Nothobranchius furzeri: one gene and its partner. The protein of the gene in region 2 purifies or fractionates together with the protein of the main gene of each other region. This does not show direct contact. Links are inferred from orthologs where the notes say so. Each region holds a gene or a part of one and is shown on either strand. Other genes may lie near its edges.

What was found.
Region 1: the proteins of mphosph6 (region 2) and exosc9 purify together in Homo sapiens (affinity purification with mass spectrometry; 5 studies listed by BioGRID and IntAct, with this or other methods). This does not show direct contact. The link is inferred for Nothobranchius furzeri from reciprocal best matches to the Homo sapiens genes MPHOSPH6 and EXOSC9.

What each region holds. Positions count from the first base shown.
Region 1 is NC_091746.1:81,911,045-81,914,801, forward strand, and holds the start of exosc9 (exosome complex component RRP45), read right to left. Parts: upstream 2,659-3,757; 5' UTR 2,560-2,658; coding exon 2,494-2,559; intron 2,229-2,493; coding exon 2,134-2,228; intron 1-2,133. UniProt on the Homo sapiens protein: Non-catalytic component of the RNA exosome complex which has 3'->5' exoribonuclease activity and participates in a multitude of cellular RNA processing and degradation events.
Region 2 is NC_091744.1:80,075,057-80,078,813, reverse strand, and holds the start of mphosph6 (M-phase phosphoprotein 6), read right to left. Parts: upstream 2,178-3,757; 5' UTR 2,026-2,177; coding exon 1,978-2,025; intron 1,285-1,977; coding exon 1,172-1,284; intron 1-1,171. UniProt on the Homo sapiens protein: RNA-binding protein that associates with the RNA exosome complex. Involved in the 3'-processing of the 7S pre-RNA to the mature 5.8S rRNA and play a role in recruiting the RNA exosome complex to pre-rRNA; this function may include C1D.

The sequences.
Region 1 (3,757 bases), on a different chromosome or scaffold from region 2:
GGAGGGACAAACCCTTAAAAGCATCTAAAGGTCACAGACAAGGGTCGATTCTAGATTATATTAAAGTGACAATGTGTAGTTTTTACCATTAATCTCTGGAAATATCCATTGAAATGTTGTAAATGAATTAAAAAGTGCCCAGTTGTTGACAAATAGTGGTTGTTTCATAACATGCAGTGGGGCAAAAAAGTATTTAGTCAGCCACCGATTGTGCAAGTTCTCCCACTTAAAATGATGACAGAGGTCAGTAATTTACATCATAGGTGCACTTCAACTGTGAGAGACAGAATGTGGAAAAAAAATCCATGAATTCACATGGCAGGATTTTTAAAGAATTTATTTGTAAATCAGGGTGGAAAATAAGTATTTGGTCACTTCAGACAAGGAAAATCTCTGGCTCTCACAGACCTGTAACGTCTTCTTTAAGAAGCTTTTCTGTCCTCCACTCATTACCTGTATTAATGGCACCTGTTTGAACTCATTATCTGTATAAAAGACACCTGTCCACAGCCTCAAACAGTCAGACTCCAAACTCCACTATGGCCAAGACCAAAGAGCTTTCGAAGGACACCAGGAAAAGAATTGTAGACCTGCACCAGACTGGGAAGAGTGAATCTACAATAGGCAAGCAGCTTGGTGAGAAAAGATCAATTGTGGGAGCAATTATCAGAAAATGGAAGACATACAAGACCACTGATAATCTCCCTCGATCTGGGGCTCCACGCAAGATCTCATCCCGTGGGGTCAAAATGATCATGAGAACGGTGAGCAAGAATCCCAGAACCACACGGGGGGACCTGGTGAATGACCTGCAGAGGGCTGGGACCACAGTAACAAAGGTCACCATCAGTAACACATTACAACGTCAGGGAATCAAATCCTGCAGTGCCAGACGTGTTCCGCTGCTGAAGCCAGTGCATGTCCAGGCCTGTCTGAAGTTTGCCAGAGAGCACATGGATGATACAGCAGAGGATTGGGAGAATGTCATGTGGTCAGATGAAACCAAAGTAGAACTTTTTGGTATAAACTCAACTCGTCGTGTTTGGAGGAAGAAGAATACTGAGTTGCATCCCAAGAACACCATACCTACTGTGAAGCATGGGGGTGGGAACATCATGCTTGGGGCTGTTTTTCTGCTAAGGGGACAGGACGACTGATCCGTGTTAAGGACAGAATGAATGGGGCCATGTTTCGTGAGATTCTGAGCCAAAACCTCCTTCCATCAGTGAGAGCTTTGAAGATGAAACGTGGCTGGGTCTTCCAACACGACAATGATCACAAACACACCGCCCGGGCAACAAAGGAGTGGCTCCGTAAGAAGCATTTGAAAGTCCTGGAGTGGCCTAGCCAGTCTCCAGACCTCAACCCCATAGAAAATCTGTGGAGGGAGTGGAAAGTCCGTGTTGCTCGGCGACAGCCCCAAAACATCACTGCTCTCGAGAAGATCTGCATGGAGGAATGGGCCAAAATACCAGCTACTGTGTGTGCAAACCTGGTAAAGACCTATAGTAATCGTTTGACCTCTGTTATTGCCAACAAAGGTTATGTTACAAAGTATTGAGTTGAATTTTTGTTATTGACCAAATACTTATTTTCCACCCTGATTTACAAATAAATTCTTTAAAAATCCTTCCATGTGAATTCATGGATTTTTTTTCACATTCTGTCTCTCACAGTTGAAGTGTACCTATGATGTAAATTACTGACCTCTGTCATCATTTTAAGTGGGAGAACTTGCACAATCGGTGGCTGACTAAATACTTTTTTGCCCCACTGTATAGCCATAAAAATTGGGTTTAAAATGCATAGGAGTGGGTCTAAGTCTCTGGGTGACACAATATTGGATGCCATGTTTCCTTTTACGGAAGCCCGTGAGGACAGAATGCATTCACTGATTTGTAACTAATAGTTACAAAACTTTCAGCATTAATAAACGTTGTTCTTTTACATGTTTATCTCTTCACTCATTGCAAGGGATGAAAGGGAATCTGATGTTCTTGTTATTTTGATGAAGGTTGCACTCCCAAGGATTTTTGACCCTAACAGTTCCTCGTGTTGATTTTAGAGACAACATGTTAGTCAGTATTAGAATCATTCAGCAGCTTTCATCACATTACCAAACCCCAGAATCACCTGGTTTGCCCCAGATCCACAAAGCAGCATCCATAATCAGTCCCAAAAGTGATTTTCAACTTTCTGTAGTCATAGGTCTGTCGTCCATCGAGCCGCTAAAAGACACGAACAAAAAACAGTAAACAGAACTTTAGCTAGTTTCTTCAAAAACAATAGTTGGAACTTGGAAAATTAAATGACTTAATTTCGGTTACAACGTTTTTATCTTAAACATTTCTGTGACAATTTTGGTGTGAATTCTCACTTCTAAAGATACAATCATGAATAGAAGCACGGATTTTTTTCAGTTTTTCCATTCAACGTTCTGGATGTGGAGGTTGTTTTCTTAGCTACTTTGATGATAAACGTTTTAAAACGCACCTTTTTCTCTTCGATTGCTCTCAGTAAGAAGTCTCGCTCGCAGTTGGAAAGCGGCGTTTCTTTCATGATTGTTGTTATTTGCTGTTTCTGGTGAAAATCAAATTATTCTCAACTGACATGCGGGAACCACCTATTTACGCAATTCGCGCATGCGCGACGAAACAATATACGGCTTTACCGTATGTCGCAAATGAACCCAAATCTTTTTTTTTTCTTTTTTTTTTAGAGAAGATAACATACAAACAAAATGCACCGTACATTATATATTCAAACGATAATCATTACATGCATATTAAACATTTTCACGTATATGAAAAAAAGAAAATCTAAAGATGGGGTCACATAATTAACAGATTATTAACTTACTAACTCAAAATCTTCTACAAAGGAAATAAACAAATCTGCCTTTTTCTTTTTAACTAAATTCAACGATTTAATTAATAATTTTAAGTCGTTTTTCCAATAGGCTAGTGTTGGTTTGGTCTTAAAAATTGACATTTATGTATAAATTGTTTGCACAAAATTAATAACACATTAACACCATAATTAACTTTCTTTTTTTCAAAAACACTCCAAACATTGTCATATTTAAGGTAAATGGGGCAATTTGAATCCCACTAGAACAAAGCCAGGCATGAAAATCTAACCAAAATATTTGTATAAAGTTGCACAAAAAAAATTGATGGTCTAAGTCCTCCTCTTCTGTTTCACAAAATACACAATTACCAGCTTCTATATTGAATCTATCCCCAAGGAGTCTATTTGTTGGGTAAATGTTATTCAAAATTTTAAATAGGACTTCTTTCCCTTTAGGAGCGATATGTGAACCCAAATCTAAATTTGTTTGTAACCAATCATGTGAACTGATGTGGACTAATCTAATGTGTGTGTTGGTCGTTTATTTTATCCGTATATTCATACATGCGATTTTAACTAGACTGATATTCGTTTAAATGATAGAAGTAAGTACAGTGGGGCAAAACGTGGCTGTAAATGAATATTTTGTTCAGTTTGTTGGCTAAACACATAAAGAAATGACACCAATTTTGGATTTTCTTTCATTTAGTCTATTAAGTGTTGCGCTTCGAGTGTAAGCATGATATAAACAGTTGAAGGGACGAAAAGAAAAGGAGCTTCTACGTGATGCTTTCACAGAAACCCCCCGATCTCCAAATCGCCGGTTAATGGGATTTTATTCGGATTCAACGAAAAAGCTTTATTTTCCTCGAACCAGGTTTCAAATAGCATAAATCACAAACAATGA
Region 2 (3,757 bases):
AGGTGCAGTGAGGAGGAGAGCCGTCCTGACAAATAAACGTGTGTGTGTGTGTGTGTGTGTGTGCACGCGCTGTTTACTTTCATAATGCAGTAAGTAAAATAAGACAAACCTCACATGTCTCGAGTCACAATGAATTTGCGCGATACTTCAAAGCCTTGTTTACCGCTGCTACCAGAAACATTGAATGGAAAGAGAGGAGGCGGCGGCCATGTTGTAGCTGCGGAGCGTCGAGGCAGTAAAACTGACAAATAGGGCTGGGCGGATCGAGCTAAGATATCGATAGTATCGATCTAACGTTGGTATTGAGTATTTACTAGATACCTGCGTGATGGTATCGATTCCGTTTCTTCTAGCCTGGCAAGCATTGATTTACTCACCGCTACAGATGTCGGTCAACGAGGCAGTCCACCAAACTCCGTCAAAGAAGATGCAAAACACATCCTTTTCCTAAATAAACGTTAGTACTTCTATCTGATCTTGACTCAAACAAAAGCTAAAAAGTCATAATAGTCCAAACTTGACGCCAAAGCCATTTCAAACGAGCGGCTGACCGCCGACTAGTCAGTAGTGCTGTACGATACTGCAAAATTTGGTATCGATCCGATACCAAGTAAATACAGGGGCTAGTATTGCCGCCCAATACCAATACTTTTTACTACTAATCTAGTACCATCTAGTTTTGTGGGAATTATTAAGATAAATAGGATCAATAAAATTTGAGTTTTCAGACAACATCCTGCCTAAATAATACATTTATTTAGTCTGGCTTGCCAGGCTAGTGCTGGCGCGCTGTTTTACTTTTTTTTTTAATGTAACGGCGGGCTGCCCCGTTGACTGACATCCGTGGCATTCCAATCAGTGTTTTACTGGTTTGTTGGGCCAATCACAGTGCTCTTTTAGCGAGGTGGGAGGGATGTCCCTGCAAACAAACATGGCTGCCGCTCGAAACTGTCCAAACATAGGTATCAGCCAGGTAAACTACAAATAAAGATGGCTGCTGTTCTGTAGTGGTCCAATCATGGCGCTATATAGATTTCATGGACCAATCGCAACACTAAGTAGGCAGGATGTTATTGGAAAACAAAAAAAAAAAAACGTAGATCCCACCCCATTATTTAGATCTGTCTATGGGTCGTGGCTCGCCAGGCTAGTGGGATTCCTGTTCTCATACTCTTTAGATTTGAGCTCCGGCAGGTCCAGGTGCCAGTGTTCATCACTGATGATCCTCTTCTCGTCTTCGTCCAGCTGCTTCTTTGTCTCAGCATCCAGTCCCCTCTGCATAAACTGAAACACAAAGCACACATTTACTCAATCTGGACCCAACCAAAACCACCGTTAGCCAGGTCCACAACAATGCTGCCAAGATCATCAGCTTCCTGGAAGATCCAGAACTTCTAAAGTTGACTTCCATCAGAAATCTTCTCTCTTCCCACAACTCCTGGTTCTCAGGCAGCAGCAAGTTTGGTTCCTTCCTAGAGGTTCTAACAGTAAAACAAGAGGCACAGCTTTCCCTTCCCAGGCTCCTCTCTGGCGGCCACCAGGTCTCCCAGAACCAGTCGGTCCATCCTGGACTTGATTCTGTAGGACGTTGCGTGGTGCTGCTCAGGATGGAGGACGTGTTGGGAGTGAAGATTCTAATCATTGCACCAGAAGCTCTGGCTTTTTGTGAGCTGTGGTTCGGATTTTTTTGGACTTTGGTAGAATCTTCTCTCAGGTTCGGTCCTGGTTCAGAGTGGTCCAGATGAAGGAGGCACATCCCGCTCCTCCACGGGTTCACAGAGATCAGATACATCTCTGAAACACGCCTAAATCCGCTTCGTCTCGTTGCTTTACCCCGAATTCAAGTTCAGTTTCAGGGTGATAAACGCTGCTTGGAGTCAGCATCTGGGAGGAAACTAGCGTCTTCTTATCACACATCAAACGTTCATTTCTGTTTAGTCAATGACGTTCGGCGCAGAGCTAGCAGCTAACGCTTACCTTCATCCGCAGCAGGTTTTTTGACAGTTTGAATGAATCTTCCGCCATATTGTGCCGATTAATTTATACTAATTTAAAGTAAATCCGAACTCATTCAAACGAACTCGTTTAGATCTAACAATCAGCACTTAGCATTAGCCACTGGGCTAAGCGCTCACCACAGTCTGAAACAATCGAACATTGATGCGCATGCATGGTCGATGTTAAGGATGATGAATCAAACACGAGCAGCTGTTCGAATTGGATCCTGGTCATCTAACCTTTTCTAGAAAGATAAAAGGACATGACCGTGAAAACACTCGAAGATGAATTTGTGTAAATTATTTCAGTTTATATGTTTGTTTGTTTAAACCGAAACACATTAGCCAACAATAATTTAAAGACCAATGTGGCTAGCTTGAAGCCCCTCCCATTCACCATGGTAACACATGCTGGAGACAAGCCCCCAAAATTCAGCGCACAGATTTCACTCACAAACGCAGAAAGGTTCACAAATGAGAAGCTTTTCGTAAATGCACGTTCAGCAATTCGGATGATCTGTGAGTTTATATTACAAGTGTTCTTACAAATAATATTTGTGAACCACAGAGTGTGAACTTCAGAATTAGCGTGTGCATTTGTGGAAAATGTTGCGTGACTTATTTTTTCACATTATATTTATGAGTCAAAGAGTGTGAATTTCCGAATGAGCTTGTGCATTTGTGTTCCTCCGAATTATATTTGTGAAACACAAGAGTGTGGCTTTCCGAATGAACGTGTGCATTTGTGGAAAACGTTGTGTGACTTAATTCTTATGTCACTGCTTCCACTCCAGTCGGGGTTCTTTTTCCCCCCCCCTCTCTCTCTCTCCTCTTCCTGAGGAGGATCCACTCCCTCTTTCCTATTCACTCTCTCTCTCTTTCTTTACATTTTTAATCACAATTGTCTATTTTTTGCTCATTTTAATTTAATCATTTTCTAAATTCTTTTTTCTATTTTACATGTTTTGTTTTTGTGAAGCGCCCTGTGATTTTTATCTTGAGAGGCGCTATAGAAAAGATCTTTTTTTCTCTCTCTCTCTCTTAATTCATGCACTTAAATATTAATGTTCTGATTTTATTGAAAAACTTGTTCTGTAATAGTTCCTTTACTATTGTGATCAAAAACATTTAATCTCAACTCTGAGGCTGCTCTGTAAATAGTTTTCAAATAAACAATACACATAGCAACTTCTGATCAAACTTAAAGAGCAAGTAACGTCTAAATTAACTTTTTTTTGCTGATGAACTGTATAAATGAGTGTCTAATAGTGTTTTAAATGTGTGTATTCATTATTTTAGCATTTTGGTGCATTTTCTTAAAAAATTAAAAATTCTGCCTAAATACCACAGTATAGCTCCACCTTCAGCTTAAAACATAGAATTTGACTCATTTTGAATAAATTTTAGCCAATGGCTAAAGAGTAAGATACTACGTAATCCAGTAGAGTACTACGTAGCAGCTCTGTGTCAACGTTATAAAAGCATCGGGAGTCTCGGCCACGCCTTGTGGCGAGTTGGGAGTTGGATTTGCATGAGAGTGTAGGAGGCTAGCCGTAGTTCAGCATTAGCATATAGCATTAGCATATCCTAGTCTTTAGCATAGCTTTTAGTGTTATACATACTTATTTAGTGTTAGCTTGGCTGTTGGATATTGTAGTTTAGTTACTGTTTGGCTGTTAGTGTAATTAGGAAAGTAGTTCGGGTTTAGTGCTCCATATCGTGTTAGCATGGTGAGATGGTGTAGTGTAGTATGGTTGCGG